Linked DNA regions of Nothobranchius furzeri. The protein of the gene in region 2 interacts with the protein of the main gene of each other region in a biochemical or structural test. Links are inferred from orthologs where the notes say so. Each region holds a gene or a part of one and is shown on either strand. Other genes may lie near its edges.

Region 1 (5,497 bases), on a different chromosome or scaffold from region 2:
CTCCATCAATCTCACAAAGAAATAGCCTAATTTCACCAGTTAACCTGCAGCGAGACGTGGTGGTGTGGGTAATCTCAAGTGAGACTTTTTATTGATGTCTTCGTGTTTTTGCTCAGCATTCTGTTACGCTGCTATCTAGTTCATCAAATGCGAGTCTGATTATCAGGCCTTTATCTGCTGAACTCTGAGTCTCAGGTTGTGTAACTCACACCACTAAACTAGCATGTGTGTCAAAGGGATGATTAAAAACCATTCAAAAACAGATTACTATAGTTGAATGAATGTGTATGTTTCATTTAAGCTTCAAAGGTCACGGGGGAAACAAGTTTGATGTACTTCAGGTGAAGTTTGTTCGACTGATGCATTTTAAAAAGAAAGGGCTTTTAAGGTTTCTGAGTCCAAAGTCTCACCTCAGGAGCTTTACTCAGATGCTGGGTCAGCACTATGAGGTTGATCAGCGTTTCAGGGTGGCTGCTGTCCTGATAGGGAGGAAAAACAGATACAATGTGAGCAGAGCTGGAGGCTTATTTTCATTAAGTTTGTGTAATCTAGACAAGATGAGATAAAATGATCCTAAATGTGTTTTCTGAGGGTAAATCTGAATGAAAATGACCAATTTCCCCCTCTCATCTATACAAGATGTTGAATGAATCTCTGATCCTGTCTAATCCAAATTTCTGCCTCTCAAACAAACGTGAAAATGAGATTATACAAGCGGACAATAACCTCTCTTTATGGAGGCAGTTAACCCTTGGATCATTTATTTATCGAAAAGTCAGAGCTGAAAGTTACACGACACCCTGTTCTGCCTGTACAGTGAGAGAATATCAATGAATAACTGATGCTTTGTAAAAATTAAACTTATCAACACTGACCAACACAAGACACTGCAAAGCTGTAGAGTTTACATTAAAGCACATTTATAAATACTGAGATGAAAAAACGTATATTTACAACCAAACTAAAGATTTATTTATTATATTAATCGAACATTTGGAAATGAGTTTTTTGCTGTGAAATAACTGATTCTTTGCAGGTGAATAAGAGCTTTATTGAACACTAAAGTATGTGCTGCCATCTGCTGGTACACTGACAGACATTCAGTTAATATTCAATAAACCAGTTCCTCTCATCAGATAGGATGAGACAGAACTGCTGTCCTCTAACCTTATCAAGAGCCTCCTGCAACACTCCTTCAGCCTCCTCCCACTTATTCTGCGCCATGTAACAGGCTGCCTGGCCATTAAGCAGCAACAGAGTAGACGAGTACTTGTCACACATCTCTTGGAAAATGTAGTAAGCATCCTGCAGCTTCTCTCCACCCTGGAACAAGGCAATCACAAAAGCAACACGGGTTTATTTATTTTCATCTGAAGCTTGTGGTTTTCAGATGATATTAGTGGTAAAGAACCCTGTTACGTCTGACTTTACTGGATGAGGAGGCATGAATTTGTTTTGTTCCAACTAAATAACAATCACAATATATTAATGCTGACATTTTGTGGTATCACTCTAATAATAATTCTTGCTTCATCAAGAGTTAATAGAACAGCAAATAGTTTGTGGTTGATCATTCACTTATGAATCATACACAATTCATATTTATTTCTTACCACAGCAATATTAACCCAGGCTGTGGCTAGCTGGGTTAGAGTTGCATCCTCGTCTTGCTCCTGCATCTTCTTCAGCTCTTTCCTGTAATAAATAATTAGCAGCAAAATACCTCATTAAACAGCCAAAAGCTAATTTTGACCATTAGGTCATGTAGAAATTAAACAATTTGAGTCATAATGTGCAGATTCTCTGTTAGCCATAATCAAAGCTCATATACAACTAGTAAACAATCTTTAGTGTGTACGTGAAAACACATTTTTGAGGGTGTGAAACAGTTACTCCATACCTCGCCAGGTCAACACGATCCAGACTGAGAAGCACCTGAATGGTCATGGCCATACTGACAAATAAACACAGAATTATGCTCAGTTTGATATTTTTAACCATAAAACAATCCAACCACACATTTAAAAGTTCACAAAATAAAAAGAACAACTCTTGTATTTTTAATTATATTAATCAGAATGCTAAATTTGTAAGCATACATTTTTAATTGCACTTCTTTATCGTTTAACACAAATCCATGAAGCAGCTTTATAAATGTTTACTTTTAACCTATTTTTCTAACAATGTAAGATTAAACTCCAAGAGAATTTCCTAGAATAAACTATGATTTTAAAGACGCTATTCTATTAATATTCTCAATATTTATATAAATGAATATTTATATTCTCTATATTTAAATAGAGCACATAAATATGCTCCATAGTTTTGGAGTAATATGTTAAAATGAAATAACCTTGAATCCTAAGCATCATCCTATTCAGACTTAAAGAGCAAGTCACCCCCCATCAGATTCTTACTCAACTCACTCTTCCTGTTTGAAAAATGCAACAAATGCTGTTGCCTAGCAGAACAAGAGGGCGGAGCCACTAACAAATACACACTCACGACATTGTGACATCATAATCTACCATCTAACATCATAGTGTACCTCTTATCCATAGAGATGGCAGATTTAAATTAAAATGTAGTGCGAGTTTTTAGCTGACGATGGTGCATCACTGACAGGTTTAAGCAGAATATTTAAATTTGAACTAAGATGCACTAAAGTGCCGAATTATTGACTACATTTGTCTACAGCCCAATCACTCATTTATATAGTTTATCAGCAAAAAAAAAAATGGTGATTTGGCGTGGCTTGCTCTTTAAACATAAATCTGGATTCCCCCTTACCACTCCAGACTTTCTCCTTGATGAAGCGTTCTGAGAGCAGCATCAGAGTTGGTCTCATGGTGGTAGATGGAGGCCGCCATGAGCAGGAAGGTGGTGTTGGCAGCATCCACACTCTTTGACATCTTTTTGTCCAAATCAGCAACAATAACATCCCTGAACAAACATAATAAGTAAAAATATACTCAAGAGATGAATTTGTAAATCAACTGGAACAGCAATTTTTACACAAAAGGGTGAGGTTAACTAATATAAATAGTTTGTGTTGCTAGGGGCAAAATGAATGAGCATTGTGTAAGCATGCTTGTACCTTTTGCTTTCATTGGACAAATACTCTGCAAACATCCTCACAGCTTGCAGCTCAGGTGGAGAGCTGGCCTTGATGTCATCCAGAACAACAGCATACTTCCTCTGTAACAAAGAAATACAAAACCTCCGGTGAGAGGGTGAATTTTTGTCTGTCAGCAATAACGTCCACTGCCTCTTCAGATCAGGCTGATCCCCCACCAACACGTACCTGAGCAATGTAGGCTCTGTACAAAAACATGTCCCTTTCGATGTCCTTCTCTGGTGACGAAGGCTTTAAAAACCAAACACAAGACGTAAGTACCAAAATCAGTAACAAGAATATTAAGAGTAGTCGTTGTTGTTAGCCCATTAGCTCAATTGCTCTGTTAACCACACTGACAGATAAATAACGCGACAAAACGAGCGTTTAAATAAATGGAAATGCGTCACTTACCTTCACTTTCTGAGCTTCGTTAATACATTGCTGGTAACTACCGATATAATAAGCATTTTTCACATCGAACAGTTCATCAACATCACCCTGTTGCGCCGCCATGTTGGCTAATGAGCTTCCGGACACGTCGCAAAGCTACGTAGGCTTCCTGCTTTTTTACAAAGGATTCTGGGAAATGCTGTTCAGAAAACAAAAATAACTAAGAACCGAAAATGACATGAAGAAAATATTTGTCCCCTCTTAATGTGGACTCGGCGCGTTATCTATTCATGTATAATGTTTAAACTAGGCGTTATCTATTCATGGATAATGTTTAAATTATTTTATACTTGTATTGCAGAGTTATACTGGGCACAAATTATGTTAAAATTAACTTTAAAATATATTTTAAGTAAATATTTTTGTCGTCCTATATTTCTAATTAGTGTGTTATTAATTGTTATTAATTCAAAGGAATCAAGTTCAAACACTGCAAAAAAAAAAAGCTGAACGAAGCCATTTTGACTTATCGCGTTTAACCACAAGAGGGCGCTTCAAGATAGATAGATAGATATAGATGATAGATAGATAGATAGATAGATAGATAGATAGATAGATAGATAGATAGATAGATAGATAGATAGATAGATAGATAGATAGATAGATAGATAGATAGATAGATAGATAGATAGATAGATACTTGTGTTTCAATTTTGGAGCTGATGATTTAATGATCTGGCCCATTTATCAGATCTAAAAAAAGTGATGTGTGAACAATAAAATAAGGATATGACATAGGGAATTTCCGCCAGCCTCATTAAACTGCTGTTAAAAAACTTCCCATGCCTTGAAAACACCCGGAGATATGTACTTTCCTTTTTGTTTTAGCCAGGAGTAATAGTTAATAGGCATGCTCTCATTAAATGCTCTATTTTGTCAGATATTTACAAATATAAGTAAAAGTGCCAAAAAAATGTCACAAAAATGAACGGGCCACATGTTTGCTGGTGATTTAGAAACTGCTCCCCACGGTTCCTGTTCATTGTTCCCTTAGCATCATTTCCTCAGGGAAATCTTCATCCGTGGGATTCGGACCTGGACGAGAATAATTACTGGAAACCCCAACGGGGGCAGTGGGTGTGCTGGACCTAAAGAGCCTTTTACTTTGGGCGTGTTTGGGCTGTTCTGCTCCTCTCGTTGCTCTTTCATTGGTTCAGAACGACATCAAGTTTGAAACTTTTTTTCTGACCAAGTAGGCGGGGGGAGTCTGGTTACGCCAACAGAAAACTTGTAACCGATCTCAGAGTGTCCGCGAGACGAAAACACTCTTAATAATTCACACTTCTGCGCCTGGTTGCAGAACAAAAGAGCAGCGGAGAACTGCTTTTGTATAGTGGATATTCGGCGAACAAAAGTAACGTTAGTGGGGTGAATATGTTGTAAAACCACTTCCTCTGTGGCAAGGATGAAGAAGTCTTGAGTGACTTTGCTCTGATTAATTTGTCAACTTTTGCTGGCGGATCGCTCCCGTGGCTCGGTGAACCGTAGAGAAAGGTGAGTTCATGTTCCCGGTGATATTAGCGGTTCACGGGTTTTTTAAATTAAACTTCTTCTCAAACTTTAACGAACAAAGATTTGTTGTCAAGGAGGGGGGCTGAACTCACGCCACCTCCGAGTAATTCAGTACGAGGCTGCTGCAGCAACGTTTCCGAGAGGTTAACGGTGGGTGTTAATGAGACTAGCTTAATTTGAGGGACGCCATGTTCACCTAACGGAAATTGGTCAAACACATAAAAACGACCCGCTGCTAAATTTCCCGAGATTAGCATTTAAACGACTGTTCTGATCGATTTAAATTATAATAAAAGAAGATACTGTGGAGTAATTATTTTTAACTATGTGATCTATACTTAAAGCTGGTCCATTCCCCCTGTTTACCACATATTTACTTATTTTCGAACTTATTCAAATGAGACCTGGTGATAAACC
Region 2 (5,539 bases):
CCTAATGTGTTTTTCCTCGTACTCCCAAGTTGAAGTGACAGACCTGATTCCTGGATGCCTTTGCTGTGGTTACAGTGGTCACTACATTGACTGTAAAGTGCTTCCTGTGTGATTCACTGTGTTTGCAATGTGCAGTGATGGTTTATATTGATGTGGACTTCCTGCAAGAAGAGACAACCCTCCCCAGAGTGGGATTTTAGTGTCATAGTTTAGCAAAAGAATGTGAGCATCTGTACATTAAGAGAGCCATTTGTTGTTTTCAGAAAAGTCAGATACAAAGTTGCAAACATCTCGTTGTGTGACATAAGGAGAGAAACATGTCTGTAAATCAAGCAGATGCTCTGAATGGATATGCATCAACAGCCTGATGTTAGCATTTTTATGTTTTGGCTCCAGTTGCTAGAGTTTGTTTACTTCAGTGACCCCTTTTCATCAGCTGCTGTGGCCCATGGGCAAAGGTTCACCTCAGTTACAATAGAGAGAAATCCAGAAGTGGCATGACCGTCAACCCGTCAGTAACTGCACAATAAAGGGGTACTGTGAAAGGATTTAGCTATGCACTAAAAAGAGATCAGATTCACATTGAATGCAGCTTTGTTGGGCTGTAAAGGTTTTCATCAGCAGGTGAGGGTTCTGGCTAATCAGTGCCCTGGGCCAACACAAACTCACAGCACTGAAAAACATGAAATAAACCATAATTGACACTTTTTGTTTTGTAAATATAATGATTAAAAATTATATATTACTTTCTTTGTCTTGTGGATTATTTGTAATGAATACTCCTGCATTAGTATTTATTGATGAAAGGCAAGTCAAGCACATTAGCTTTAGTGCATTCCTTTACTGCACATCAATTTGGACACTCATTGCTATTGAACCCCCAATAAATCCTTAATAATAATACATTCATTCAAACTTTATTTCAGACAAGGGATATGTCCTTAACAAGAATAAAAAAAGAAGTAAAAAACACATTCAAATTAAAAACCATATAGTTGTTCCAATGTTTAAAAAGGACTGAGGAGTACCTCGTGTCACTGTAAGTTAAAGATGACAGTGCTCTAACAACAGCGTTAGCTGACAAACTCAGTCGGCAGATGAATTTATACATGAAGAGCCTCAGAAGCGCATGAAAAGTAGGGATGTTATAACAAACATATGACTTGCCGAAGTCCATCTAGGGAGCTTCATGAGGATTCTAAAAGCATCCTGATAAGCCACTTGAAGCTTCTTCATTACTACCTTACTATAGCTGCACCACAAGTGGGCTGCATAGAAAGGAGTACAAAAGGAACGAAAGAGGGACACTTTAACAGGATCTGAGCACATACCAAAGTTACGTGCCAGAGTGTTAGCCTGCATGTACAACTTACCGCATTGCCTCTTAATATCCTCGTCATCACAGAGGTCACTTCTTAAAATGTGCCCCAAGTATTTTACTTTGCTTACCACTTTGAGGACCTGATTTGTTAAGTTAAAAGATGGAAAATTAAGCTTCAGGTCCCCTTTAGTAGCAGCAATCATAACCACACTCTTTAAACAGTATGTCAAATTGCTCACCATACTTAGCACATGCCCTGAGCAGCTGCTGCAGGCCTGCGCTATAGGGAGACATGAGGACTAGGTCATCTGCATATATTAAATGATTTACAAGGCAGTCACCCACCAAGCATCCAGTCTTGCTATCATTCAAAGTAACAGTAATTAAATGTGTTAATATAACGGCCACATTTGTCAATATACATATCCACGTGAAAAATCAATACAGAATATAGATCTAAAACCAGCAAACATAAATGTATTAAATATATTTTCGGACATATATATATATTTATACCCACCCAATATGGCGGTGACGCTGTTAAGCTCTCTGGCGCCTAATGTCGGATCTACATAAAAAGTCGGGGAGGACGGGAGGACTCATGAAAAATCTCAGTTTTCTTTTTTTTTTAAATTTATAATTCGCAATAACGGGTTTACCATTGTCATTTATATAACCGAATTATATCAGCTTTATAAGTTTGAACTCAATTTTCATTGGGACTTCCCAAGATCGCCTGTTGGTGCAGTTCGATGAGATCTATTTCTATTCGCCGCTGCCGTGGAGCTTTCTGCGTCAGAGGAAAACTTTATTGTCCATAACCGGAAGACAGAAGCGGACTACGTGTCAGGAAAAAGAAATCGGCTAAACAGGCGAAGGAGTCCAGGCCGTCCCTGTCATTTACACTGAATTTTTTTTTTTGTTCTCATTGATTACTTTTGTTTTAACCATAGTTTTAATATTAGGGTTTGAAGGGCTTAAACGGTGAGAATGTTAACTAAATTTGAAACGAAGTCGGCCCGAGTCAAAGGTAAGAGTTTGCCAACAACTAATAGCACATAAGCTAACATCGCTAGCTGGCGTGAACCTGATCAATTAATGTATTCTATAAAAGGAGATGGTTTTTAAAACATATTTTGCTGTTGTTATTTAAGTATTTACATACATTCGTCATACGTTCAATTTTCTGTATGATTAGCATTTTGCGGTTGCGCTCACATATGTTTGGGGTAGCTATCGTTAACGTATTTTGGGTTCCCAGCTCTTAAAGTGTGTTATTATATTTAATCCAGCATATGTTACATTTCAGGCCTGAGTTTCCATCCCAAAAGGCCATGGGTTCTTGCAAGTTTGCACAACGGTGTGATCCAGCTGTGGGACTATCGGATGTGCACACTGATCGACAAATTTGATGAACATGACGGTGAGACGGTGACGTGGCTATCGTGTTTGTTGATATTACGCACCTTTTTATAAATAAATAATTGTGGTTTTACCTGCAGGCCCCGTCCGAGGAATTGATTTCCATAAACAGCAGCCCCTGTTTGTGTCTGGAGGAGATGACTATAAAATCAAGGTAAGACTGCTATTAAAACTGGAATTATAGGAAATATGTTTGGGTTAGATTGTGGATTAGTGTTTGTGATACTTAAAACTTTGTCACCTTTTAGGTTTTTGTGTTTAATAAGTGAATTTGTTTGAACCAGGTGTGGAACTACAAGCTGAGGCGCTGCCTCTTTACTCTTCTCGGACACCTGGACTACATTAGAACAACATTCTTTCATCATGTGAGTTGGACTGTCACACTTTGTCCTAAAATGTATCTTTGGTGACTTGATGTATTGTTAATAGCTTTATTCAAGTCTCTTAACACCTTGGATATGTATCTAGAGTTCTGATCCTGATTTTTAATATAAACATAAACAGAACAACAGTAAAGAGATTGATACAACTTGAGTCAGCTTTGCATTTGGGTTTTAATAAATGACCTTGCTTAAATTTGTGAAGGTTCATAAAGTTTTTTTATGTTTGCGATGGTTGTATGTTGGCTTTTTTCATGAAATACTCACTTTACCTGTAGGAATACCCCTGGATTCTGAGTGCCTCTGATGATCAGACAATCCGCATCTGGAACTGGCAGTCCAGGACGTGTGTATGGTAAGACAGTTGGTGCACTTTATTATTTTACTAATCGTCGAGTCATAGTTTAGCTATTTGATTCGATACAGGGAAGAGTGTGGGTTCAAATACTCAGTAAATTGCTTTTGAGCTCTTTTCAGACATTAGAATTTTTATACTATAGGTCTGTTCTAGTTTTTGACTCGCAGCTTTCACTGCCCTGCAAACATTAAAGTTAGATTTTTCTTTCCCCCTCCCTTTTTGTGTCACCCAGTGTACTCACAGGACACAATCACTACGTGATGTGTGCCCAGTTCCACCCATCTGAAGACCTGGTGGTGTCTGCCAGTCTGGACCAGACCGTGCGAGTGTGGGATATCTCCGGTGAGGGCCTGGGATGAAAGGACCAGAGTGGACAGTGGGCTGGGTTTGGGTGAAGGGGTTGAGTACAGAGTGGAAGGAGGCAGAAACAGGACTAATACAAGTCCTTTACCTCTTCTTTCTCTCCAGCTCCTAGATGACAATTCTCTGTGGGCTCTTTGCAGAAACACCTCTCCTTTCAGGACCGAGACATTTATGTTGTTGCATTTAGGGATAACGTTGCATGGTGGCCTGGAGAAGATCTAGTGTAGTGTAAAATGGTCCAGTGAAATTGGAGAAGTGTTTCTGTATCTCTGCATGGTTTTAACACTTTTAATGTGTTTCCTTCTTTCTTTCTTTTTTACCCAAACTGAACAATTTCTTTGCTCTCATCTTCTTTAATTTTTAAACATGGAAAATGTGCATTTTTTTATTTATCTTGTGACCTCACTTGTGCTGGATTTGTGCTTTATATAATGTTAATATATTGAGCTTGATTGCATCCATTGCTGCATTATAAATGCTAAACTGCATGCTGTAACAATTCTCCTCGGTAGGTCTTCATGCTGATTTTGCTTTGAGAGATCACATTCAGTGGAAGGCCCCTGTTGTTTTGTCTCTCAAGTTCAATACGTTTTTAAAACTGAACAGTTACTAAAGTGGTGCAGTTGTTAGCACTGTTGCCTCGCAGCACGAAGGTTGCAGGTTCAAAACTCGCCTGCGGCCTTTCTGCGTGGAGTTGCATGTTCTCCCCATGCATGTGTGGGTTTCCTCCGGGTACTCCGGTTTCCCCCACAGATCACAACATGCCCTATAGGTTATAAATTGTAAGTCGCTTTGGATAAAAGTGTCTGCTAAATAAATAAACATAAACATAAAGTGTATATAAATAATACCCATTATTTGCATGATTGGCTCACCTTCTGAGTCTATAACATGGCTGTAGCCACCATAATATTATCAAGCATTGCTGCTAGTTTGTAACTAACTTGCCATTTTCTATTAACCTTGCATGCAGCTCAGTTACCTTGACTGACACATGCATGCTCATTCAAGGAGACAAACTCGTTCTCAAATCAGACATCAAACGCCCCATCAGAGCACGTCTTTTCAACACTTCCCACCACCCACCCCACTCCCATCAACCAAGTCCACACTGGCATCCATATCCCATGCTTTCCCTGGAAACATCCACGCCTGCACATAGGTTCCTAGTGCTATTTCCTTCCTCTTAGTGCTGTTGAGCTATCTGTTCACCACATAATCTTCCAATGGGCTGAAATCATGAATGCAATACTGTTTTCTTGTCAAATTTCCTTCCTGATTTAGTCTGAGTTCTGGAGATGATCAGTAAATCTACTGTGGTGTTCAGTTGAATCAGTCATTTCTTCTGGCGCTGCTACTGTGGTGATTGTTTCCAGATTCATCTTAATGAGGAAACGAAGGTTGTGTTTGTGTGTTTCAACCCCATGTGTGTGTGTTCAGTAGTCCAACAGTCCTATTTTTACTCTGAATTTGTTCTTTTGTTTTACATGATTTGACCCCATGTTTGATCATGTGGAATGATGTTTTGTTTTGTGTTCTTCCTCCTCCTCTTTGCTGGGGTTGTGCTCTGTATAACATGAACATGGCTTTCCTTCCTTGCACGCGACCCTCTAATTGATGGTTCCAGGTCTGAGGAAGAAGAACCTGTCTCCTGGCGCCGTGGAGACGGAAGTGCGCGGCATCACTGGGGTTGAC

What was found.
Region 1: the proteins of copa (region 2) and cope form a complex in vitro, tested with the Homo sapiens proteins (3 studies listed by BioGRID, with this or other methods). The link is inferred for Nothobranchius furzeri from reciprocal best matches to the Homo sapiens genes COPA and COPE.

What each region holds. Positions count from the first base shown.
Region 1 is NC_091748.1:57,727,566-57,733,062, reverse strand, and holds the start of cope (coatomer subunit epsilon), read right to left. Parts: upstream 3,689-5,497; 5' UTR 3,632-3,688; coding exon 3,530-3,631; intron 3,368-3,529; coding exon 3,305-3,367; intron 3,199-3,304; coding exon 3,098-3,198; intron 2,944-3,097; coding exon 2,791-2,943; intron 1,955-2,790; coding exon 1,901-1,954; intron 1,696-1,900; coding exon 1,614-1,695; intron 1,324-1,613; coding exon 1,168-1,323; intron 480-1,167; coding exon 411-479; intron 1-410. UniProt on the Homo sapiens protein: The coatomer is a cytosolic protein complex that binds to dilysine motifs and reversibly associates with Golgi non-clathrin-coated vesicles, which further mediate biosynthetic protein transport from the ER, via the Golgi up to the trans Golgi network.
Region 2 is NC_091751.1:41,092,097-41,097,635, reverse strand, and holds the start of copa (coatomer subunit alpha), read left to right. Parts: upstream 1-2,155; 5' UTR 2,156-2,311; coding exon 2,312-2,351; intron 2,352-2,630; coding exon 2,631-2,744; intron 2,745-2,823; coding exon 2,824-2,897; intron 2,898-3,027; coding exon 3,028-3,108; intron 3,109-3,401; coding exon 3,402-3,478; intron 3,479-3,713; coding exon 3,714-3,823; intron 3,824-5,471; coding exon 5,472-5,539. UniProt on the Homo sapiens protein: The coatomer is a cytosolic protein complex that binds to dilysine motifs and reversibly associates with Golgi non-clathrin-coated vesicles, which further mediate biosynthetic protein transport from the ER, via the Golgi up to the trans Golgi network.